Mus musculus: one gene and its partners. The protein of the gene in region 3 purifies or fractionates together with the protein of the main gene of each other region. This does not show direct contact. Links are inferred from orthologs where the notes say so. Each region holds a gene or a part of one and is shown on either strand. Other genes may lie near its edges.

The links.
Region 1: the proteins of Aurka (region 3) and Wdr62 purify together in Homo sapiens (affinity purification with mass spectrometry; 3 studies listed by BioGRID and IntAct, counting the BioPlex papers as one, with this or other methods). This does not show direct contact. The link is inferred for Mus musculus from reciprocal best matches to the Homo sapiens genes AURKA and WDR62.
Region 2: the proteins of Aurka (region 3) and Ppp6r3 purify together in Homo sapiens (affinity purification with mass spectrometry; 6 studies listed by BioGRID and IntAct, counting the BioPlex papers as one, with this or other methods). This does not show direct contact. The link is inferred for Mus musculus from reciprocal best matches to the Homo sapiens genes AURKA and PPP6R3.
Region 4: the proteins of Aurka (region 3) and Ppp6c purify together in Homo sapiens (affinity purification with mass spectrometry; 4 studies listed by BioGRID and IntAct, with this or other methods). This does not show direct contact. The link is inferred for Mus musculus from reciprocal best matches to the Homo sapiens genes AURKA and PPP6C.
Region 5: the proteins of Aurka (region 3) and Calcoco1 purify together in Homo sapiens (affinity purification with mass spectrometry; 3 studies listed by BioGRID and IntAct, counting the BioPlex papers as one, with this or other methods). This does not show direct contact. The link is inferred for Mus musculus from reciprocal best matches to the Homo sapiens genes AURKA and CALCOCO1.
Region 6: the proteins of Aurka (region 3) and Dicer1 purify together in Homo sapiens (affinity purification with mass spectrometry; 4 studies listed by BioGRID and IntAct, counting the BioPlex papers as one, with this or other methods). This does not show direct contact. The link is inferred for Mus musculus from reciprocal best matches to the Homo sapiens genes AURKA and DICER1.
Region 7: the proteins of Aurka (region 3) and Mtmr3 purify together in Homo sapiens (affinity purification with mass spectrometry; 3 studies listed by BioGRID and IntAct, counting the BioPlex papers as one, with this or other methods). This does not show direct contact. The link is inferred for Mus musculus from reciprocal best matches to the Homo sapiens genes AURKA and MTMR3.

Annotation. Positions count from the first base shown.
Region 1 is NC_000073.6:30,270,411-30,273,910, forward strand, and holds part of Wdr62 (WD repeat-containing protein 62), read right to left. Parts: intron 1,975-3,500; coding exon 1,917-1,974; intron 1,368-1,916; coding exon 1,197-1,367; intron 407-1,196; coding exon 269-406; intron 1-268. UniProt on the Homo sapiens protein: Required for cerebral cortical development. Plays a role in neuronal proliferation and migration.
Region 2 is NC_000085.6:3,464,250-3,467,749, forward strand, and holds part of Ppp6r3 (serine/threonine-protein phosphatase 6 regulatory subunit 3), read right to left. Parts: intron 3,046-3,500; coding exon 2,892-3,045; intron 2,351-2,891; coding exon 2,244-2,350; intron 447-2,243; coding exon 296-446; intron 1-295.
Region 3 is NC_000068.7:172,367,771-172,372,009, forward strand, and holds the start of Aurka (aurora kinase A), read right to left. Parts: upstream 2,801-4,239; 5' UTR 2,703-2,800; exon of another isoform or gene 2,686-2,702; coding exon of another isoform or gene 2,625-2,685; intron 1,263-2,624; coding exon of another isoform or gene 1,258-1,262; coding exon 1,216-1,257; intron 1-1,215. UniProt on the Homo sapiens protein: Mitotic serine/threonine kinase that contributes to the regulation of cell cycle progression.
Region 4 is NC_000068.7:39,202,350-39,205,849, forward strand, and holds part of Ppp6c (serine/threonine-protein phosphatase 6 catalytic subunit), read right to left. Parts: intron 2,626-3,500; coding exon 2,484-2,625; intron 1-2,483.
Region 5 is NC_000081.6:102,715,679-102,719,178, forward strand, and holds part of Calcoco1 (calcium-binding and coiled-coil domain-containing protein 1), read right to left. Parts: intron 3,399-3,500; coding exon 3,296-3,398; intron 2,316-3,295; coding exon 2,125-2,315; intron 711-2,124; coding exon 552-710; intron 213-551; coding exon 64-212; intron 1-63. UniProt on the Homo sapiens protein: Functions as a coactivator for aryl hydrocarbon and nuclear receptors (NR). Recruited to promoters through its contact with the N-terminal basic helix-loop-helix-Per-Arnt-Sim (PAS) domain of transcription factors or coactivators, such as NCOA2.
Region 6 is NC_000078.6:104,690,098-104,692,952, forward strand, and holds part of Dicer1 (endoribonuclease Dicer), read right to left. Parts: intron 2,369-2,855; coding exon 2,206-2,368; intron 2,106-2,205; coding exon 2,030-2,105; intron 1,662-2,029; coding exon 1,496-1,661; 3' UTR 1-1,495. UniProt on the Homo sapiens protein: Double-stranded RNA (dsRNA) endoribonuclease playing a central role in short dsRNA-mediated post-transcriptional gene silencing.
Region 7 is NC_000077.6:4,486,791-4,490,290, forward strand, and holds part of Mtmr3 (myotubularin-related protein 3), read right to left. Parts: intron 2,978-3,500; coding exon 2,832-2,977; intron 1,843-2,831; coding exon 444-1,842; intron 1-443. UniProt on the Homo sapiens protein: Lipid phosphatase that specifically dephosphorylates the D-3 position of phosphatidylinositol 3-phosphate and phosphatidylinositol 3,5-bisphosphate, generating phosphatidylinositol and phosphatidylinositol 5-phosphate.

The DNA of each region.
Region 1 (3,500 bases), on a different chromosome or scaffold from region 3:
AGCTGAAAAGGAGGGCTTTTAAGAGGGTCTTCCATGTGGAGGAGAAGGAAGAAAAGCAGAACCCGTACTCAGGGCAGAGGGGCCAGGAGGCAGCAGTCCATCAGTGAGCTCTGGCCTAGAGGCAGAGTCCAGCAGGATTACTAGTCAGCACTTTTATGCCCAAGAAGCTGGGTGACCTGGGAGACCCCGCCTCCAAGTCTCAGGTAGACATAGGAGCATGCTGCTAGTGACCCTCTGAGACCTGACCATAATGGGTGCAAAAACTCACCTTGGCCTCAGTAGAGGCTTCTAAGAACCAAAACCTCACATGCCGATTCCCAACGGTGACAAAATAGCTGCTGTCCTCAGAGAAGGAGAGAGCGATGACTCTACATGACACCTTGTTGGAAGCCACCACAATGTCTTTCTGGAAGAGTAGGCACAGAGCGGTTCACAGCACCATCCACCCATCCATACTGGGCTCTCCCTGCTTTCTCTCCCATTGTTCTTGGACCTGGCAGTGGTCTAAACTCTAAGGAAAACTGTGCAACTCTGGTCATTCCTAGGCTCCAGAGGAGCAGACAGAGAAAGGTCCCAGGAAGAGTAAGTTTCAGAACTCCCACCAAGGGCCAAGCTCTGCAGCCACATGTTGGGAATGGTAACAGCTGGTGGTAAGGAGAACACAATCTATGGCTACCACACAAAGGGCTGTTGCTCTGGGCCCTGCCCTGAGCCCCTCATAGCTGTGGATGCCAGCTCATGAGGGAAGTGTTCCTCCACCCTGCCAGGCTGTGTTCAAAGTCACATGGTGGGTCGGAAGCAGAACCAGGACTTCAAGTCCTGCTATAGCTGTGCCAAAGCCCAGCCTTAGAGTGCGTGTCAGGGAGCTGGAGCTCACATAGCCAAGGGTAGATGCTAGGAAAGCCGTTCTACAGGCGAAAAAATAGTCAAGGCGCTTGTGCACGGCCACAGCTAGTCAACACAAAAATAGCACTTCTGTCCTAACCTTTCAGTGTGGCTACTCGGTTCCTGATCTGTTCCCTATACCAACAGACATGATGACCCAAACTCTGCCTTGCCACCAGGTGACCTCAGGGACAGAAGCCTCACTGTAAGCATGGTGCAACAGCAGGCAATAGGTTGGTAGTGCTCCCTAATGCCCAAGGTTTAGGGTGCTAGTGACTCCCTGCCTGCCCACCTGCCCACTCGGTTCTCACCTTCCAATCCCAAACATTGAGGACCATGTCATGTTGGTAGCCCATGGACACGATGTGCTTCATATTGGGTGAGAAAGCCACACAGGCCACACCATACTTGTGGCCCAGCATCTCTGCCACTTGAGTCTTCTCCTCCACATCCCAGATGCGCACAGCTGGCCGGTGTCCATTCTGGGAGGCAGAGGGGATGAGGCCATTACTATTGCTGAACTATATGTAAGGCAGGGTGTGATGGTTTGTATACACTTGGCCCAGGGAGTGGCACTATTAGGAAGTGTGACTTTGTTGGGAGAAGGGGTGTCACTGTGGGTGTGGGCTTTAAGACCCTCATCCTAGCTGTCTGGAAGCCAGTCTTCTCCTAGCAGCCTTCAGATGAAGATGTACAACTCTCTGCTCTGCCTGCACCATGCCTGCCTGGATGCAGCCATGTTTCTACCTTGATGATAATGGACTGAACCTCTGACCCTGTAAGCCAGCCCCAATGAAATGTTGTCCTTACAGGAGTTGCCTTGATGATGGTGTCTGTTCACAGCAGTAAGACCCTAACTGAGACACAGACAGGGCTAGAAGTTGGCACTGCTGTGACTTGTTCCCAAAGCCACCTCCCCTATTTGCCACAGGGATTATCTAAAATCAGGAGCCAATTCAGAGATTGCCAAGCCTGCTGGAAGCAGAAGGAATGGCCCCCAGACCTTTCCCACCTGCTCAGTCAAGACTCACCTCTCCTGTCACTATGTACTTCCCATCTGGGGAGAAGGCCAGAGCACTCAGGGACTTCCTGGGGACAAGCAAAGGGGTCGTCACTGGTTCCACCAAGAACTGTGCTCTTGCCATTCTAGCCACTCCTGGTCCCCAAGGCTGGGGAAACAAGAGCCAGCAGTTCCTACACAGCCACTGTAGCCTGTGTGCCCAGCATGGCACTCAGGGAATGGAACAAGAAAGCAGAGGTCTCCTCCTCCCTCAATACCAAACCCAAACACTGCAGACCCAGAATCGAGGTTTTTGCTTCCTTCCCCCAGTGTGGAGTGAGCTTTCCAGGACCTTATCCACCTGTAACACAGTCCTGAAACTCAGATGCAGGAAATGGTACAGGCTTGGCCTAACTAAAGAAGAGCTATGCTCATGGGTGGACCCTGGTAGACAGGGCACAGATATAGCTCATTGAGTGTTCTAGAAACCCCAACAACTGAAATGTTTCTATTACTCTGTGTGTGCGTGAATGCATGTGGTGGTCAAAGGTCAATCTTCAGTGTGACTCCTCAGAAGCTACCTGGCTGATTTTCTTGAGACAGGGTCCCTCACTAGGACCCGGGGCTCACCAGTTAGGGTAGACTGGCTGGCCAATGAGCCCCCCAGGGATTCCCGTCTCTACCTTTCTCACACTGGGAACTATAAGCATGTCGCCATGCCTAACTATTTATGTAGGTCCTGGGGACTGGAGTTAGGTCCTCATGCTTGCATAGCAAGGACTTTACACACAGAGCTCTCTCTCCAGCCAGTCTCTGATACGCTTAACTAGCCTGAACATGGGTTGAGGAGCTGGCATGGCTTCTGGAAGCAAGCCCATGCCCAGACTGTATGGCTTTAGCTCCTCCTTCGTTTCAATCCTGTTTTTGCACTTTGTTTTTGTTTTCTTAGACAAGATCTCATTGTATAGCTCAGGCCTTACTTCGCAATCCTTCTGCCTCAGCACCCTAAGTGCTGCAATTACAGGCTCGTGTGGCACCCACCTGGCTTCTATGTGAGCCTGACAAGCCCACAGATGTCTGCCATCCTCCCTGGCCTGTGTATGCCATCTAGTGACATCTCTTTATCGTCCCTATGACATCAGCTCCCTCCCTAAGATGCAAGGGGTGGTGCAGCTTCTGTTGGAGCTTCCCTTCCCCTTTCCTGCCCCCCTGCACCCAGCACTTGGGCCCATGACAACTCTGCTGTTCCTTGACTCTTCATCTCTGCTGCACCTCGGCCCTTGCTAGTGTTCCTATACATGGGTATCATTACTTCCGCTTGGTCTCAAGCTCAGGGAGGCCTTCTGATATAGCTTTCCCTGTTTTCTTTTCTAACATCCCTGCAGGCATTTTCCTCTCAACAATCAGCTAGTAATCAGCTAGTGGGTTGTGGTCTGTCTCTCATGCAGTCTAGAGCTCTAGAGGGCAGATCCTTGTCTCTGCTCACTGCTAGGTCATCAACACCTGGAACAGTACTTAGCACAAAGCAGGTCCCGTGAACATGGCTTAGGGAGTGAGTCACCACCCATGAACACCTCCATGCTCTGAGGGGACGGGGATTTGGACCAGCACCCTG
Region 2 (3,500 bases), on a different chromosome or scaffold from region 3:
CTTGGGTAGACAGGTAGCATCTGCAGCCTCTGTTCATGTCAGGCTCTAGCATGAGCAAAGCTGTGTCAAATACCTGAACACTGACAATCTGCTAGACTCTGAAGACAACACACATAAGGAAAAATGCACTTTAGGGGTCCAAACTCTCCATCTCTCGGTTAACATTAATGGAGATATTAGAAAGATAACAAGTTAGCCTATGAGTACTCAGTTGAATCTAAACATGTTCATGTTGGGTTTCTTCCCCATTTCCTCCCGACAAGCTGTCACTGTAGGAGTCCCAGGCTCTGGTTACCTTTTGAAGACTGCAGTCTCTGTCTTGGCGTCTACAGTGAGGCTGAGTGTTTCCTTCATGCCGCCATTCATCACGGTCTCAGTTACCTTGTCTGTACTCTCAGCATCCTCTTCCCCATCTGAGCTGGCTTCCATGGCCATACTGCCTGGTGCTGAAAGTGCACACAGTGGATGACAGTCACATTTACCACACTTACCCTGGAGCTCAGTCTCTTTTCTACTCAGACCCCCATGCCGTAGTCCTGCGTACACTTCAAGATGTTAAGAGTAGCAGCTCTGCCTGGCTACATTATTAATGGGCACCTGGCTCTTATAAATGCCCACCAGGGTGGCTCCCTCATAGGTTTTCCTCAATGGAGAGCTGTAAGTTCCAAAGACCCTTCCTAGCGCTGTGTCCATATGGTCCCAGCTTTCTCCCACTGCTCCTACACCCACTCTACAACACAGGAGAATGAGCCCCGGGATCTTTCCTTTAATCTACAATAAAAGCCACATGGTATGCTCAATGGTTATGAGCTTGGACTTGTCAGATTTCTAGATCTGAACCCAGTATCCCCATCCCAACTTCCAAATCTGTATAATCCCAGGGAAAGGAGACCACTCTGTGCCTCTAGCTCCTTAGCCATCAAAACAGCTACAAAGGCATTTTAAATGCTACAGTTTAGAGTCTCAGCTGAATAAAACTCTATCAGGTGTTTGGGGGGGACGAGGGGGACTATATGGATGTTAACTGATGGAGGATCTAGCCAACTGTGGGGCAGGCTCTCTGCTGTGCACTAGAGAGGAAAGTTGGCTGAGCAGACAGCAGCCAGCAAGGTGGTGCATGTGCTCTCTCTGCTCTTGACTGTGGAGGCAGTGGCCAGCGGGCTGAGTTCCTGCTCTGCTCCCTAAGATGATGAACTGAATAACCTGCAGCTGGAGGTCAAGTGAAGCTGTTTGTTGTTGTTGTTTTTTCAAGACAGGGTTTCTCTGTGTAGCCCTGGCTGTGCTGGAACTCACTCTGTAGACCAGGCTGGCCTCGAACTCAGAAATCCACCTGCTTCTGCCTCCCGAGTGCTGGGATTAAAGGCGTGTGCCACCACGCCCGGCTAAGTGAAGCCTTTTCTTTTCTATGTTGCTTCTTGTCTTATCACAGCAACAAACTCAAACTGGAATACAAGGCAACAATGTTTGGAGTGATGATGTCCCCATCACTTTTCTGGTTATGTCCTGAGGCCTCTGCTCACTTCCTCTTTCTTTTCCCAGAAACTTGCTGCTTTGCTCTTTCCTGAAGCTCTTGCCTCCACACACATCCCATCCCTACCATACTCTGCGAATATCACACTCTCCCAAAAGGCTCTTCTGCAGTCTGCAAATGGCTCAAGGTCAGTCCAAGGAGCACAAGGTAAATATTCTGAACATGATACAGTCCCCTAGGATTGAGACACCTGTGACCACTTCATATAGGGAGGAAAACCCAGGCCCACAACCTAGACCAGGTTCCCACCCCCATGTGCCTCAGTAGAACTCCAGGGGATATTCTAGCACAGGTGTGGGCTTTGAGACCCTCATCCTAGCTGCCTGGAAGTCAGTCTTCTGCTAGCAGTCTTCAGGTGAAGATGTAGAACTCTCAGCTCCTCCTGCACCATGCCTGCCTGGCCTCTGAACCTGTAAGTCAGCCCCAATTAAATGTTGTCCTTAGAAGAGTTGACTTGGTCATGGTGTCTGTTCACAGCAGTAAAACCCTAAGACATCTACCTATCCTCAGCACTGACAGGACTCACACTTGGTACCCAACTCCTTCTGGAACCCCTGTTTTGTGGTTGTCAAGATAGTTTCTTCTCCCTTCTCCTGTGATGACCAACGGACATCAGAGCCACTTTCTTATTTTCCTGCCTCCTTTTGGTCTGAGCCTAAGCCTGGTCTAGCCTTTCCTACCTGCTGTGAACACATTAGCACACTGCACTCACCCTCTGGCTGAGTGGCCAAGGCAGCTGCACCAGGTGTCAAGGGGTCCACGGATTCAGTGCTGGTTTCCATTTCCACAGGCGAATTACTCCTTAAAGACTCCTTTGTGCTTTCAGAAAAGAGAAAAATCAGATGTCAGCAGTGTGAACATACCTGGTTTATACAAAGTGAAACATGAAATCCTCACTTAGTATTCAAATGCTGACAAAGCTATTCAGGAAAATTCTGAAATAAGGTCTCTGTGACTGAGTAAAACAAACACCAGGACCGGCAACGACAGTGATCTGTTGGCACTCTATAGCACTAGATGGTGGCAAGTGAAATACAAGCTCACATCCACAGCAAAGTCAGACTCGGCCTTATAGCTGTGCCCTCCCACAAGGGCTGGTCAGGCACCCACTCTTACTCCCCTCAATCCACCCGTGGAGCATTTGAAGCTCCACAGCTCTCCAGGTATCATCTTCCCTTCTCTCCTGCTTAAGCACCCTGGAGCCATCTTCCCAGGGCAGCTTCCGGTTTTGCTGTGGCGCTCAGCTGGGTCAGTGTGGCCCAACCCTCTGCTCAGTCTCAGTCGTTCCTCAGAGCTGAGCCAAGGCACATGCACTTCCTGCCTCCCTCTGCAGACATTAAGAAAACACACAACTGCTCACCTCAGGGAGGATGTGAACTCTGAAAAGGAAGCCCAGCCTGTCTCTTTAGTTGGCATTGGCTCCTCTGTGCTCCAGACATCGGATCCCACGGAGTCTAAGGGAGCACCATGGGTGGTTTCCATTGGGACGTCAAAGTTGGCTGACCAGGTGGGTGCTGAAATGAGGGGAGCATTTATCATTTGGAGCCTTTAGCCCTTGAGTTTAACAAGTGACTCTTTCTGAGGCTGAGTGTGGTGGGGTGTTCCTGTCATTCTAGACACTTGAGAAACTTGGGGCTGGGAGATCTGAGCTGAGGCAGACCTCATGTACCCTCAAAAAGGAAATTATTTCTCAAAATCAGATTAGTAGATGAGAAGGAAGTAGTTGCCATGGGAGAAAAATTAACATGGTGGCACAAGGGGTGGGGCTGGCACAATCACTGGAGTGGAAGGAGCACTTGTGGCTTTTCATCTAGAAACTAAATTCCTAGGAATATCTCCCAATAGAAATATTATTCAAAGTACATACAAAAATTCTAACCAACGGTTATTTTTCCTGCTTACCATATGCAAAGTTCTTGGACCAGTCTGTTGTGTGAGAGCGTTACTGCAGAGTTCAGTCTGTTGTGTG
Region 3 (4,239 bases):
TACGTTTAGGAGAAAAGACGATAGAATCATCCTCAAGCAATTTTGAAAAAAAAAAAACAGTCTAAATCTAAGGTTATGCTGGGCTTCCAGGGCGTATTGCCGTTCTCTCAGATCATCCATCCCCTGGGTCTTTCTATCACAGCACTTATTTGACCACGTCTCACTGTGTAATCCTGGCCAGTCCCAGACTCACAATATAGAACAGCCTGGCCTCTATCTCAGTCTGCCCACTACTGACTCCTAAATACTGGGATTAGAGGTGTGCCCACCAAGCCCCACCCAACAGAAATATTTTTTAAGAATGTTATCTCCAAAACTAAAATGCATAGAAATTATGTTTTTCAATAGGAAAAAAAGGACAAAGAAGACCACGGAGGCCTTGAAAACAATCACTACTGCACGGGATGATCTGTGTTGTGTCAGTCTTAACGAGATCTTAAGACTAAACTAATCACACTCAGAGACGCTGGCACTCCCTCCTCCTTAAATGAGGCGCTCAGGATCCACCATGAGCTCAGAGGGTCTGAGGTTTCCACAGCAGAGCCATTTCCTGAAGAAACAGAGGCTCAGGTAGCCTCCAGGCAGGGTCAACCTAAAGTTTCTACCCAAAGCCACGGAGGAAAGGATTCGATTCCACGAGCACTGTACAGATTTGCTCAGGGACTAAGGTCTTTTACAGCCAAGCCTAAGGACCTGGGTTAGGGTCTCTGGACCCACTCTGACAAGTTGCTCTCTGACCTACACAGTGGCATATGCATAGGTGCACACAAACAAAATGCACATCATTTAAAAAATACCGATTGTGGGGGCTGGAGAGATGGCTCAGCGATGAAGAGTACTGGCTACTCTTCCAGAGGTCCTGAGTTCAATTCCCAGCAACCACATGGTGGCTTATAACCATCTGTAATGCCCTCTTCTAGTGTGCATGAAGACACATTCATAGTCATAAAATAAGCAAAGAAATCTTTTGTTTGTTTTCGTTTTGGGTTTGCTTTTTGTTTTGTTTTGTTTTTAGTTTTTTTCAAGACAGAGTTTCTCTGTGTAGCCCTGGCTGTCCTGGAACTCACTCTGTAGACCAGACTGGCCTCAAACTCAGAAATCCGCCTGCCTCTGCCTCCTTGCATCCCCAGTGTTGGGATTAAAGGCATGCGCCACCACGCCCGGCAGAAATAAATCTTTTAAAAGCCGAAATTGTAAATACAGGTAATTCTGTACCTTAACAGGCCTGGAGACACAGTTTTCTTTACATCTGTCCATGTCACCTGAAAAAGGAAACAAGAGCCTTTCTTTTAGGAGGAGTCCAAGTCCTTCACCTTCGGATCTACACCAAATGACCTTGATGGTTCTCACTCAGCTCAAAGATTTACTACAAGAAAGTTGCACATGCCACAGGGTTCCCCTTTTCAGATCAGGGAAGCTAGGCAGGAGGCAGAAGCCCTGAGCAAAGGACTGCAGTTGCAGCTACCTCACACTCCTGGGCCCCAGACCAAGGTTAATAACCAGCCCTGCAGTTTAGCTTTCCCATAATAGCTACACCAGGGTCTTATCCCTAAGAGGTTTCTATTTCCTGTATTTGCAGTGGAGCCAGGATTTGTTTGTTAGGTTTGGATTTTTTTTTTGAGACAGGGTCTCCCTGGGTAGTCCTGGCTGTTCTGGAACTCATTATGTAGGTAGACCAAGCTGGCCTTGAACTCACCGAGTTCCTCCCTCTGCCTCCAAAAGGCTGGGATTAAAAGAATGCAAGACCACACCTAACCTTTATGTTTGTGGTAGAGACAAGAGTTCCATGGATCCCAGGCTGGCCTTGAGCATGCTATACGGTGGAGGATTACTCTGAACTCCTGATCCTCCCGCCTGCAGTTCCGCAGTGCTAGGACCACAGAGGTCATCACCATCCTCGGGGTTCCAAGTGCTGGGAATGGAATCCAGGGCTGGCTAGGCAAGCACCCTACTAACTGAACTACATCCCCAGACAGGCTCTCACTTATTAGCTGTGGCTGGCCTTAAATCGAAGGCTAACCTCCTGCCTCAGACTGCTGATGTAAGCAACCACACATTTAGGTGTGTGTGTGTGTGTGTGTGTGTGTGTGTGTGTGTGTGTGGTGGGGATGGAGGTGTTGAGGTAGGGACGTATGTGGATGTAATTTAGGCTGGTTTTTCGGACCTACTGTGTAGCTGAGGATGACCTTTGACTTGATCCTGCCTCCACCACCTTACTGTTGGAATAAACAGCGGCGGCCACCACGAAGGCAGTGTTCAATCCTAAAACTTCTGGAATATTCTACAAACTGAGCTTTAGCGGGTCTGCGCTTTGAAACAGACCCTCAAGTAGTCCCGACATAAACTGCTCAGAAGGCTGCGGGAAGAGCAGCACCAGTCCTGGGCACTCTACGAGGGAACTCCCGTTCATCCACAGACTCGTCGAGTCGACTTAGACTCTGATTCTCCACCCGAAGCAGTCCCCAATAAGCCGCAGTTCCCGCATCCACCATCGGTTTGCAAATTACTCGGTTAGCTGATGGTCTGGATCCCCATTCCCACAAGAACCTAAAACCAAGCCGGGAAATCTTAAACGTCTGGACCTTTCTTAAACAGAATGCAAACCCACTGAGACAGTCCATTACCCCGACGCCACACAGCCTTCCCTATCCGTTTGCAGCATCCAGGCTCGCCCTCAACAGCCATGTCCCTTTCCAACTCACAGGCAGGAACCTGCTCCCGACCGAAGCCTCCAAGCGATCCCGGTAGCTCAGCCGTTACAATTCAAAGGTTCTCCTTTTAAAATAGGAGTCAAACCCTCTACTCCAAGAGCTGATTGGCTAGAGCCGGAGCAATGCCGTTCTGTGATTGGCTCACCGTAAACGCGACTATGGGAAGCTCGTTCCCTGCCGTAGCTGGGCGCAGGCGCACTGAGCTGTCGGAGCCCGGAAGTGGTGCACCAACGGCCCGTCCGATCTGCGGCCGTTCTATCGCCCGCCGTGCTCCCCAGGATCAGGCGTTCGCCAGTCACACACAGCCCTTTGGATTCAAGGCAGTCGCGGAGGTGATTAGTTCGGAGACGGTGAATGAGCGTCTCGAACGTGCCAGTGAGTAAGATGGCGAGAAGGGCAGACTTGCGAGGGAGCAGGGATGCTCGGCGCTCGGCTGCATGCCCTTTGCACGTGCGCACTGGGTGTGCACTCCGAGCGATCGATCGGGCACGATTCGCTCCTCCATTTTTCTAGAAGAGAGCGGGAGACCGAGACCCTGATCTGCGGGTACGGGGTCAAGGGGGCGTAAGGAAGCGGGCTAGTGTGGTTGGCTAGGGTCTGTAGTGGATCACGTGAAGGACCGGGGCTAACGGAGAGGATGGCAGGAGGCCGCTCGCCCCAAGTCCGTGTCCTAGAGTTGGCCGGCCCGGCCTGCACCCCGGCTCTCAAAGGGCCTCGGTCCCGGTGGGTCCAAGCCGGAATTCCGCCCTGAGCAGAAGTGGTCGCGCGGCTTCGCTTTGGGCCCCCTGCATTCCCCGGTGTTAGCTTTCCGGGGGCGAGCTCCTCCGGTCTCGTGCCTCGGTGTCCCCTCCGGGAAGGATATAAGTTATCTGTGTCCCATTGGAAGTTAAGCGGGGAGTTAAGTAAAGGCTCAACCTCCTTCTCCCACCCCCGTTTTCTTTAAATGTCGTGATACAACCCCAGATGTTTCCTGACAGGAGTAAAGATGATAGGTCAAATGGTTAAGTTCTGGGCTCTGGAGTGTGCAGGCTCCCCCTCAACTTTGAGGGGAAGGGGAGGGCTTAACTTGAACGGGTGCCCTAGATTCTTAGAACACATTTCACCCTCTGTTGTGTCCCAATATCTTATGCAGGGGTAGATTTGTATTCATTTCTTTCTTTTTAAAAAAAAACTTATTTAGCTTTATTTTACATGCATTGGTGTCTAGGTGGCAGGCCCCTTGGAACTGGAGTTAGAGACAGTTGTAAGCCGCCATGGGAATTGAACCCAGGTCCTTTGGAAGAGCAGACAGTGCTCTTAACCACTGAGCCATCTTTCCAGCCCCCATTTCTTTCTAATGAACACGAATATATTGAATAGCTTCGTTTAGTGATTGGATGCTAATTAGGTGCTTGGCACCGCATCTGCCAGTAGGACCTGCATGGTGTTATTATTGTTAAGAACTCTGGTCAGTACTATGCTGTGTGGCCTTGCTAGTCATTTGGTTTAAAACTGAGCCCGGGGTGTCTGTCAGCAAGCATTGTAACTC
Region 4 (3,500 bases), about 130 Mb from region 3:
GGTTTAAATGCTTATTTCAATATTCCTTAAAAACAAGCACGTTGTGGCACACACCTTTAATCTCAATGCTCATGACATAGAGGCAGACAGATCTGAGTTCAAGGTCAGCTTGATAAACATAGCTTCAGGATAGCCAGAGCTAGATAGGGAGATCCTGACTTAACAAAATAAAACAAAAAACCTACAAACAAACAAACAGAGGATATACATCTATAATCCCAGAATTTGGAAGACTAAGGCAGAAGGATTACCAAAATTTTAAGGTCATTATGGACCAGATACTGACTTTTTGACCAGCCTAGGCTACAGAATGAGACCCTGTCCATAAATAGGCAACTAACTAACTAAATGTTCAGTCATTAGGAGACTGACTTAGGAAAATTACTGAACTTTTGAGGCTAACTTGGGATACATAGTGAATTCCAGGCTAGCCTGAGCTACAGAATGAGATCCTGTCTCAAATAAACAAACAAATGTTTCATATGCCTTATCTGAACTATTTCTTCCCCTATGAGTGCTCAGGCATTTAGGGGAGGGACTAAGGCTGGCAGTAACACTGCCAGAAAGGTTCAAGGTCAATCTGGCCAAGCAGACAATTCCAGCCCATCCAGATCCATGTAGCAAAATCCTGTCTCAAAGTTCCAGAATCAAAGAAAGAAAAAGGAAGAAAAAAAAAAAAAATGGTTTGTGTCCCATAGCATTTCAGATTTCAGTTTGGGGCTTGAGGTGTAGCTTCCTGACAAAGTGCTTAGTCTGTATGCCCTGGGCATGCGCCCCCCCACATAAAACAAAAGTATCGAAAATCTGAAACTTTCACGTGTCAGATCCACAATCTGAACTTGAGTGTCCCAGTGGTGCTCTAAGTCTCAGACTTTACAGATGATGACTGGGGGTGTGAATTTTCAGATTAGAGATACTCAATTGGTATTATACAAAATTACTTTCAGACTATATATTATAGATAATGTATAAAAATTATATTTTATAATATATAACAAAATTATATATTGTACATATAAAACATAACTGTGTTTAGATTTCTGTCTTATCCTCAAGAAATCTCATGTTTTCCAAACATTCCAAAATCTTAGCATTTAGGAGACAGCCATAGAAGGATCATGGCATCAAGGCCTCCCAGGATGACAGTGACTTCTAGGCCACTTTGGGCCTCTATGTCTCTATGGAGACATCCTGTCAAAAACAAACAAAACCACCAAAAGATTAAGGAAGTAAGAAAGCTGGCTAAGAACACAACACAGCACTAAGGAAGGTCTGGGGATACAACTCAGTGGCAGAATACCAGCCCCAGAATACATAGGGTCTGGATTCAATCGCCCACACTGACCAAAACAAAGAAGAGGAGAGAAGGCGTGTGGAGGGGGCATGTGCAGATAAAACCCCAGTGTATAATGTGTACAGCATCCACCTTCAGTAGATTCCAGGGTCCTATGCTGAATTTGATTACAATGTTTGAAGTGACATCCAGCAATCTACATTTTTTTGGGGGGGGGGTAGGGTTTCAAGACAGGGTTTCTCTGTGTAGCCCTGGCTGTCCTAGAACTCAACTCTGTAGACCAGGCTGGCCTCAAACTCAGAAATCCGCCTGCCTCTGCCTCCTGAGTGCTGGGCCTAAAGGCGTGCGCCACCACGCCAGGCTTACTTTTTTTTTTTTAAAGATAGCTCAGCAGTTAAGAATGAACCATGATTGGAGTCAATTCCCAGTACCCCATCAGGCAACTCATGACTGGAACTCCAGAGGATCCAATGCCTCTGGACTCTAAAAACACCTGAACCTACATGCATGTGACGCACGCACGTACACACACACACACACACACACACACAAACATCTAAACATGATTAAAGATAATATAGTAATTTTTTAAAAAAATTTTTATTTATTCATTCTCTGTGTATATTGGAAGTTATGCTGCAGAATGCACATGTGGAGGTTGGAGAATAACCTTAAGAGTCAGTTTCTCTCAGTCCACCATGTGGGCCCTGGCAAACAAACTATGGTTATCAGGCTTAGCAGTGAGTGCCTTTCCCCACTAGGTCACCTCATAGACCCACAATATGCATTTTTAACAAGCAGTCAGTGATTCCAAAGTGGGAAATTTAAGATTACATTCTTTTTTTTTTTTTACACTAATTTGAAAAGATGTACCAGCCAGGCAGTAGTGGCGCACGCCTTTGATCTCAGCACTTGAGAGGTAGAGGCAGGCGGATTTCTGAGTTCGAGGCCAGCCTGGTCTACAGAGTGAGTTCTAGGACAACCAGGGCTACACAGAGAAACCTTGTCTCGAAAAAAACCAATGTATACCACAGCCTTAGGAACAGCATTCAGCCTTTCACAATATGGCAAGATTTTCATACTGGGAAAATGTGGAGTAAAGCAAAAAACAAAACAAAGTACATATATGACTTATACAACTTCCCCCAAAGTAACACACCACTCAGAATCAGAGAAAAGAAGGTCTTACCATAAAATCCATACACCTGTGTTATCTGTCTACTCTCATGATTTCCTCTTAAAAGTGTAATACGGTCAGGCCACTTAGCCTTTAGTGCAAGAAGATAAGTGAAGGTCTCCAAACTATAGTAACCTCTGTCTACAAAATCACCCTGTAAAGTAAAAGTTTACAGTTACAAACTGTACAATAGCATAATAGCCCAAAAGAACAACAATAAACAGCTGCACATAATTTCTTTTTTTTTAAAGATGTATTTATTATGTGTAAGTACACTGTATAGCTGTCTTCAGACACCCCATGAAATCTTATTAAGGATGGTTGTGAGCCATCATGTGATTGCTGGGATTTGAACTCAAGTCCTTCGGAAGAGAAGTCAGTGCTCTTAACTGCTGAGCCATCTCTCCAGTCCTAAAACATAATTTCTTAAGGAATGATTTAAAAACAGGAGTTATTTCTCTGTAAGCTTGAGGAACTTTGAGATCCCGATGTGGATGTAAAAAGATGGCTGCAACTGCCTCTAACAAACACTGGGGCCTGAGAAGGTGGCGCCTGGAAGCTAGCCACATGGCTAGCCTACTGAAACCCAGTTTCTGGCTCGGTAAGAGATTCTGTTGTCAATACAATAAATCAGAGATAAGCCTGGTTTACTTAGAGAGCTTCAGGTCAGCCAGGACAACATAGTAAGACCCCTTACAAAACAAACAAACAAAAAACAGAAAAAAAAACCCTACGTATACAAAATAGTATTTACACTTCCAACTAATGTCTGATTTAGACCAGTAATATACCAATATTTAGAAAATAGCTTTAAAAAATCATAATAGGGTTTGAGAGGTGGCTCAGTAGTTAAGAGCAAAACTGCTTTTCCAGAGGACCCAAGTTCTATTGCCAGCATCCACATAGTTGCTAACAACATCTGTAACTCCAGTTCCAGGGGATCTGACACTCTCTTCTGGCCTCCACAAGCACCAAGCATGCATGTGGTAAACAGACATACATGTAGGCAAAACACCCATAAACATAAAA
Region 5 (3,500 bases), on a different chromosome or scaffold from region 3:
CCAGGGGGATGGGATGGAGGATTTGGGGACAGAGGCCACCCTCAGGCTAGGGAGGTCCCCTACCTGTCCAGCTCCACCTCCTTCATCAGCACTTTGTCACTCATGGTCTGGATGTCATCCTCTAACTCCAGGATACGGGCCACATGGTCTCCCTGCTGCTGGCTCAGGATGTCCCTCTCTTCTGAGAGCTCCCCATGGGACCGGGAGAGCCCCTGGAATCAAGGTTCCACCAAAAGAGACAGAGGGTCAGGACAGGCTCAGGCTTACCATTATACGTATGCCCCGCCTCTGTCCTGCCACCTTCCTTGGGAAAGCTGAGTGGAGGCGCTGTTGCCTGGGAATGTGGCATTACGCCACCATTCCTGGATGCAGAGAACTGAGTCTTGTTACAAACTGGGATGTACCTCTTATCATTCAAAGCTTAGTCTCACCTGTTACCCTTAAGCCTATTTCCTCCATGCAAGGACCATCTTAAAAACTCCACTGACATCTTTCCTTTCTCCTCTTTGCTGGGTCTGGGCCCCCCCACCCCCACCAGCTCCAACTCCCACCTTGTACTGCTCGGTGAGCTCCGAATGCTCCTGCCTGGCCGTGGCCAGAGCTGCCTCCAGCTCCTGCACTCGGCTCCTCAGCTCTGTCACCTGATCCTCCAACTGCAGCTTCAGCTGCATCAGGTCATTCCGCTCCTGCTGGCTCTCATCCAGCTGGTTCTACAAGGGCAGGAGAAGGGGGGGGAGAGAGAGAGTGAGAGAGAGTGTGTGTGTGTGTGTGTGCGTGCGCACAAGCACCATTGTGTGTGTGTTGTGTGTGTGCGCGCGCGCAAGCACCATTATAGACACCTCGGGGCAGAGAAACCAAGTCAGCATGGCCCAGACCTTAACTGCCGGCCCTCAATCACCTTTCAGCCCAGGTCTGGCACTTTCCTCTGACAGGGCACAGTGACAAGGGGCCTCCTCTAAGTTTACCTTATCTCTATTGAGTCAGACAGATTTGAGTAAATCTGAGATACAGTTTTTACTAGCCAAACCACTAAACTCCTCATCTGTGAGGTTTAAATGAGAATAACCAATGTAAGACCAGAACACTGGGTAGAAGCTTGTGTTATCCCTCCTATCATGTTGGTCCATGTATTTATCAGGCTCAGGTTCTGGAGAGCGGAGACTGGTCCAAATCTCTGAGGAGCTACCAGTTTTCACCTGCTGAGCAGCTGTTCTCCCGTCTGGAGAATGGATGGACTGCCTCCCGCCTATCCCTCACTGTCTCTGTAGTATCTGCCTTCGCTCCTGAGACTCTTCTCTGGCCTGGTGGAAATATTTATATATTTTTTCTGGCACATTTTTTAAGTTTGAATTTTCTAGCATCCACTTTAATAAGAAGTATATGAGGGCCACAGAAACAGCTCAGCAGTCAAGAGTGCTTGTCGCTCTGGGAGAGGACCAGAGGTTAGTTCCCAGCAGCTACATCAAGTGGCTCACAACCACCGGTAACTCCAGCTCCAGAGTATCCTATGACACACAACCTTCTGGCCTCTGTATCCACACGTACGCACACACACCTGGGCTGGGGAAGGTAATTGAGGGATTGAAGTTAAAAGTACCACGGCTAGGCCAGCAAGATGGCTGATGAGATAAAATACTTATTGCCAAGCCTGGAAACTTGAGCTTGGTCCCTGGATCCTTGAAACCAACGCTGAAAAGGACGAGAGGACCAACTCCCTCAAGCTGATTTCTGACTCCACACGAGTTGTGGCATGCAAGCACTTACGTATATACATATCTACACATACCCAGATAAACACAACTAAATAAATAAATGTTGAGATACAAAGTGTTTGAAATCCAGTATGCTATCTTTCCTGTGATTATACCTCAAACTGGATTAGTCATACCTGAAGTGCCAAAGAGCCCTATGTGGTCAGCACCTTTGGTACTGAATGGGACAGTTTCGAGCCCTGCTGTGCCCACACTCTTTCCTCCCTGGGTTGCTTGAGGCAGTTTTCCTCCACCTTGTGGCTCTCCTGTAGGATTTAGGGCAGGCAGCCACCCTTTGAAAAGGCTGGCTCTCGCAATGCTGTCCTTGGTGTCCCTGGCCCTGGAACAAGTCTGCAATTTTTTTTTTTCTTACCTGAAGCACGGTGGCCTTAGGGACAACCAACAGGATGTCAGAGCCTCCATCAGCCTCCTCCAGGGTCACCAGCTCATCCATGGGCCTTGGCTCTCGGAACTGGAAGGGGGGGCTCTGCCCACACACCCGGCCCTGGCGGTTCACATACCGGAACTGGTAGAGTTGGGCTCCTGGTTTGGGCAGGTAGCTGGCTGTGGGAAGAATAGCCCAGAAACCCAGTATGATCTCTGGCTCTCAAGTGCTAACAGGTTCCTGTTCCTATTGAGGAGGACGAGTATCCCCATGCTACCTACTGTCCACTCCCTTGTGGCGGTCCTTGGGATACGGTCCTTCCTCCTTCCTGTCTAGACACCTGCTTTATTCATACCCGGTCTTCCTCTTCATCACATTGACTCTAGCTGGCACTGACTGTCTGCTGGCATGCACCACACACCACACATTCAGCATTCCCCAGGTCATGTAAAAATCTCTGTAGGGATCCTACAAGCTGGGACCCTATTCTAACTTACCTGCTCAATGCCAAACAGCTTGTAAAGCAGGGAGCTGAGATTTGAATCCAGGTCGCTCAGACTGCTATTAGCACACACTTTCCCTTGTCCTATACTGGGAGTTCCTCTTTCGTTGTGTAAATGAATGGGATTAACATCCTCTATCTTTCTACAGTATCCTCTAAGTTACCGGTGCCGACCCTACGATAACTTGCTGAACTCTGTTGGACACAGTCTCACAAAGTCTTTTTTTTTTCCCCCTTTTGGAGACGGGGTCAGCCATGTTGCCTAAGCCAGCATTGATATCCTGGGTTCACGTTATCTTCCAGCCCTAGCCTCCTTGGTAGCTGGGATGACATTGGAGTACCATTAGGCGTGGCAATTAGGAGTTATGTGCTCTCATATTCCTTATCCTCTGTGCTTTTTATGGCTGTTAGCCCTCCGCCTTCCCCCAAACCACCACTTTTTTGGCTTCTCCATCTTTATTTTTTTTATTTTTTATTTATTTATTTTTATTTTTTGGCTTTTTGAGACAGGATTTCTCTGTGTAGCCCTGACTGTCCTGGAACTCACTCTGTAGACCAGGCTGGCCTCGAACTCAGAGATCCACCTGCCTCTGCCTCCCAAGTGCTGGGATTAAAGGTGTGTGCCACCACTACCCGGCATTCCATCTTTCTTTATACCTTGGAATTGGACACTGGCATGGGTGGGGGAGCCATCAGTTGTACTTTCTGGCACTGAGGACCACACGAACGTGTGATAATCTCGAACGCAGGCAGCTTCCACCTAGAAGAGAAAGGCAGGATGACAGAGTTATCGGTGAGAAATAGAAGGGTGGGCAAGGGCAGGACTGAACAAATGGTACCAAGGATGCTAAGACTCAGGTAA
Region 6 (2,855 bases), on a different chromosome or scaffold from region 3:
GCATCTCTCTCTCTCTCTCTCTCTCTCTCTCTCTCTCTCTCTCTCTCTCGGGCGGGTGACTTGAACCTAAGTGCAGCATTACATGAAGCATCAGCCTCAGGAGATGTGTGGGGAACGCGAGCTACCCTGGCTCAGCCTGCTGAGACTTCAAGCGTAAGAGGGCAAATTGCAGCAAAGCTCTCCTGTGTGTCGGTGGGAGGGCACGGGCAACCCATACAGCATTTTTAAATGTAAATTAAGAGGTATTATAGTCACAGTGCAAAAAATTAAACTTCAAGCATGATACATAAACGTAGCACCAACGGGAAAATGCAGGCAAAGGGAGGGACTGAGGTGTGTAAGTGAAGAGGGGCCCACAAGCCCAGGCGAGACCTTCAGCAAATGCCTAAACAGCTTTACTTTCTGAGTCTGAGATGAACTAATGACCTAGTTTATCTAAACTGGTGACTTCTACCCCAGACGGGTTGGTCCTGGCAGTCTGCCACAATGCTGACCCCATAGGAAAGAGAGCACAGCTTTGGTGACTCTGGCAACACTGCCTAGTACAGACCTGTGGCGTGTCTAGGTACACTGCATCTCAGGCTCATTTCGTCAGAACAGCAGCTGACCGGGCATTTCCGCCACTGGGACCACCTGGCAGGAAGTTCTGAGGAAAACCGGGCATCTAGTCATGTATCCTGTCTATAATGATGCTTTAAAAATCTATATACTCACTCTGGGTTTTAGAATGTCTTCAGTACAAACAACAGAAATCCTACCTGCAATAGTTCCATTGCAAGTGCCCTAGTGAGCTGCCACCCCATTTCATCCAATGCATAATAAGGGGAAGGCAAAATAAAAAAGCAAACTATCAAGTCCTTCCTTTTAAGGCAAGAATCCTCTCTGCAGCACAATGTGGCGTCTGAAAGCCTGGCCTCCACTCACCAGCAGCCAACACGGACTCAAAATCTGTCCCTTACTATTCCGTGCAATAGTACCCGGGGTCCGCCCGGCCCCGCCTCCACTGCCCTCCACAGCACGGGGGCTTCCTTTGCACACTCTGCCCTTTTTGTTGGGCTTGACACCGCAGCAGGACAGGTATAGTGTAAGGGACCGCAAGGTCAGGACGACCCAGTTCTAGGGACTGTTAGAGGTTAAGCTCCATGGCCTCTAACACCAAGCAAAGTCGACAGAAATTAAATGTCAAAACAAACAAAACCAAAAACCTGTCAAAATGATTTTAAAACCTTGCTAACAAACACCAGGATTAAAGCACTCCTGTGACTAAGCAAAGCAGGGTGGGTAAAGAAGACAAGATTGTGTCTGCGCAAAAACTAAACCAAAATTAGTTCCAAAGAGTTTATACACATATTACATGTTTTATTCTGTTATCTATCTCATTATCAAACTTTAAATTCTGCCTTCAGTTTTCCTGTTCTGTGTCAGCCCGAACCATCCTTGTGCCGTGGAGCTGTGGTTCTGGTCCGCTGTCTTGCCGCCTGTGAGTCCGGAAGCTTCAGCTGTTAGGAACCTGAGGCTGGTTAGCTTTGAGGCTGCGGAGGGCCCTTCGTGCTGCAGCAGACTTGGCGATCCTGTAGCTCCGGCCAACACCTTTAAATTTCCCCTTTCCCACCACTTCCACGGTGACTCTGACCTTTCCATCATAAGTTCTCTCCGCTGGGCTGCAAAACCCCAGACAGTTTGAGTTAGGAATCAGAAGTATTTGTTATTACTGTCAGTCGACACCTCCAGTCCTCCTGGGCTGAGTCCCTCTTATGAGTTGACCATGTACCAGGCCTTAGCACACATAGGCCGCTCTCCCCTCCCTCCCTCCCTCCCTCCCTCCCTCCCTCCCTCCCTCCCTCCCTCCCTCCCTCCCTCCCTCCCTCAGTTTCACTTTATGAAAACAAAAAGGGGAAGAACAGCCGGTCACACCAACGTGGACGCTGAGAGGATGCAGGCCATGCAGGCGCTCTCATTCAGTAGCTACGGTTTCTTGAGAACCCTTGAGTGTAGATATGTTAGTTCTTCACGTACACACCCTGCTTACCTAAACTTGGCAGTTTCTGGTTCCATCTCGAGCAATTCTCTCACTGGAGAACGAGGCACATTTGCAGAAAACTTTTCTATAATCAGAACAATAGATTATATAAGGTGACTAAAGGCCCTAGAAGCATTTTAAATAGTGTTCTTGTATACACCAGGGGGAAAGAGCCCGCACTGTACCTATTAGAGGCTGCATCATCGGATAGTACACCTGCCAGACCACCTCCAGAGACATCCCACTGTCCATATAAATGGCACCAGCAAGAGACTCAAAAATGTCCCCCATGGCCTTGGGGACTTCGATATCCTCTTCTTTCTCCTCATCCTCCTCGGATCTCCTAAGCTATTGAAGAAAAGTGACTTGTCAAATAGGGCACCTTCAAAGACTATCTACCCCAGACTGGCTTCTCTTAGCTGCCTTTTACTATTTCACAATCGTAACCAACGCCCAGGTGCACCTGACTCACGGCAGTGGGCATTCCAAAGCCACCTTCCCAAGAGCCAGAGACAAGGACCTGATGCCAGCAAAGGGAAAACCCTTGCAAACCAGAACAGAACTTAGGTGTAATCTAGAGTTGCAAGATAAACATGGTCACAATCACCTGTAACCAAGTAACTGCCTTTCTCAGAAAAGGCACCCCTCAGCACCCAGCAAGAGCAGCGCGGGGACGAGGTTAGAGACTAGCACTCTTTGGGCGGAGGAACCCTTTCGGAAGCTCTTCCCCCCAGTCGCCCTGTCACTGAAACATGAACTGCACTCACTCTGACAGCATGGCCGACACAGTGCATCCTCAGATCCACGGGATAAAACAACCCCTGTGTAAAGCCTA
Region 7 (3,500 bases), on a different chromosome or scaffold from region 3:
GTGTTTTATTTTGGGGTAGAGTGAACTGAGATAGGTGCTCACTTTGTTGTCCAGGTTAGACCAGAACTCACTATGTAGCTCAGGCTAACCTCAAACCTGTAGAAATGCTCTGCCTCAGCCTCCCTTGATTACAGGCATGAGCCACAAAGCCTGGCTGACACAGGGACCCTCTGCAGAGATTTGATTCCCCTGTCATGCATATTAACTCACCTCTTTTTCTTAACTTCCTACAAGGGAATAAGAAGCCAGCTCAGCAGAAAAGAGGAGGACTGCTGTCTCCATGGCCAAGGCCAACTCCCAAACAATCTCTCTCGACATTGAGACCTTTCTAATCCTTTCAGAAGTCTGTTTCAATAACCATGCACTGGGTGCAAAGGGTTATTTTGCTGGCCTCTGCGTGCCGTCTCCTTGGAAGGCTTCAAAGGAATCCTGACCTAACTTACCACTTCATCTCCAAAGTCTCCATTGAAGCGCAGAGAGCTGGTCAGGTACTGGCTCTCCAGGCGACTCTTCAACTCCTGGACTTGTTTCTTCAAGGTCTCCACTTCCTGCTGGTGACCAGACTCTATCTGTCGCAGGCGCTGTTGGATTGTGTCCGTGTACACAGGCATGCCATCGTCATCCAGGTGGCTGCGGGAAGGCTGGTCAGGGCTGCTGGTAGTGGATGGCCTCCCTGAGTGGCTATTCAGCCACTTGTGGTGCAAGTTCCTCGAGTACAAGTGAGCAGAGCTACAGCTTGTGGCAGACAGCTGGTGGCTCAGTGAGTCCTTGCTCCTCCCAGCCTCCCAATTGGCACAATGCCCATTGGGTGTGGGGTACTTCTGAAGGGTGTCAAACCCTGCAGGCTGTTCTGAGGCCTTGTTTTCAGTCTCTAGGGCACCGTTGCACACAATTCCCTGTCTACATTTATCTAACGGCAAGGCACAAGGAGCCTGCAGCAGGCTAAGGGTGTTGCCAGGGGATGAAGTCCTGTGTAGCACAGAGTCCCACTGGGGCCTCTCAGCAGACCTGGGCTCTGGTGCTACAGGAAGCATGTCCTTGCCACTGAATCTACCACTGCTTGCTGGGCAAGGTCTGTGATGGAGCTGGGGCCCACTTTCTGACTTTACCTTATCTTCGAGTAACATGTGCACGGAGTTGTTGATGTGTGGTCCTCTTGTCTCGAATGGGACTTGGGAAGGCAGCAGAGAACTAGACTGTGAGATACCAAGGCCAACTTTTGCATCTACTGGGACAGCAGGAGCTACATTCTCCCTGTCCTCTGCAATATTCTCTACTTGAGGCTGTTCTACAGGGACCTCCTGGGAGTCCTCTCCCCTGAGAGGAGCTTGGAGTGAACTAGAGAGGACATTGTGCCCATCCTGATGTTCAGGAATACCCTGGGAGAACAAAGAGAGGCTGGGGCCTTGATGGCTTCTTAAAGTAGCGTCATCCAGCTGTGGTTCTTGGTAAAGTACAACGGGGCCCTCGGCCGCCATGCTACTTTCTTTTGCTAGGGGTGCCTCCTCTTTGACCTCTGGCACCTCAGTGTGCCCCCTGTGGGTAGGCTCTTCTACCCCACTCTCCTCTTTGGTGGCCTCTTGCAAAATGTTCTCCATCTGCCCTTCAGCCACTCCGGCTGCCACAGAAAGCTCAGCACCTCCGAGCAGCCTGCTGGGCTTGCGCAGGCTGTCCATAGCAGGCACCTCTTCCCCAGCGCTGGCAAAGCTGCTCAGCTCCAGCGAGCGCCCGTGCTCCTGCCACTTCTCATTCAGGCTGGGGTCACTGCTGCGCCGGCTGGCCAGCGGCACCATGTTTTCGCAGGTTGTGGTCAGATTGTCAAATGATCTAGTCTTGGGTAGCCTAAAAAGAAAAGGGTTTAGGGAAAATGAGAATCTGAGAGGCGATCTAGAGGGCCCCAGAGGACAACAGGTTTTTCATAAGCTACTGTTTCACAACTGGGCCATCGCAGCCACATCTCTAAAATGAGGCTCAGACTCCTAGAGCGTCACGGCTCTCCACAGGTACTGCCTGCACTTCCTCACTGCCAATCCCCACCCCCACATAAGCTACCAGCATACATTATTTCTAGAAGGCATCCTTTTACATTTTCCTCTCTTTATTTTTTTTGATTTTTTTCAGACAAGAACACATGTATTCCAGGTTGGCCTCACACTCTCTATTTGGCCTAGCAATGACCGTGAACTCCTGATCCTTCTGTCTCTACCACCAATGTGCTGGCAGTACAGGAATGTGTCACCAGGTCAGGTTATGCAAAACTGGGGCTCAACCCATAGCTTCATGCATCTGTAGCCTTCACAAGGCATCCCTCGAAATGGTCTACACCTCTCAGGTAGTGGCAAAGGAACTTGCTGGTCCTTTGTACTAGACATTTTAAATTCATTTATTATCTCTCACTCTGTTCTTAATAAAGCATATTCACAAGTTGCAAAACCAGTTTCTCTCATCTTATAGCATCTGACTTTCAAGCTTCAGAAGACTAACCAGAGCAGGGAGCAGGGTATGAACAAACCAAAGTCCACAAAGACTCCACAGATGTGCTCCACTACCGAAAAACCGCTCAGTGCAGGTGGCAGAATAATGTAGGGACAGGTCCAATTCATTTTCAGAAATAAGGCTTACTATCTTTCTTAAGAAACTAAACTTCAGCCAGATGTCGTGGTTCAGGCCAGTAACTCGAACACACACATCACTGCAAGTCTAAGGTCAGCCTTGGAGGCAGGGAAGGGAGGGAGAAGAAGGGCAGAAGGCAGGGGAGAGGGGATACCACCACTTAAGAAAGAAGAGCACCATTCAGGACTTAGGACTTGTGGCATCAGCTTTGGGCTCACCGGCTCAGTGGGGGCTCATCAGGGCTAGTGCCTGGGACTGGGTATGGTGCACAGCTGTCATCTGTGGGGGTAGATGGGGATGGGCAGGGAAGGTACACTGCGCTCCACAGCATCAGATTCCGCACATGGCACACGGGGTAGAGCACCTGAGGAGAAGGGTGGGGAGGACACAGGTTTATGCATGTTCCAGTAAATCCCTTAGACATGCCTGGAATGACAAAGCAAGAATGAACACACCTAGGTGGGCCACTCAACACAGCTGGGTCACAGATCAACAATGAGGTGGCACCAGTAAATGAAGGTCTATCTCCCAAGAGAATAGATATAGACCCAGGGTTTCTGTCGGCCAATACTCTTTACTTAAAAGCCTCTCGTGAGCATGAAAATCTAATGGGTCCTTTAAAGGCAGACTTCGTATTAACTATCTCAGTTGGTCTTTACTGAACGACAGGCTTTCATCAGCCTGATTTACCGAGTAAGAATTGTTCTGTTACATGGTGAATGTGTCTGTTTCACTAAAGCTTGGCTTCAGTGAAAGCTGTAAACCTATTTTATAGAATCCCTTAAATTAATCATGTGAAAATAAGGGTATTTTCCTACCCCTTACTGCCACTTTCCCAGCAGGCACAACGAAGGGAAGGAGAGACACTGTAAATCTTTTCTTCTAAC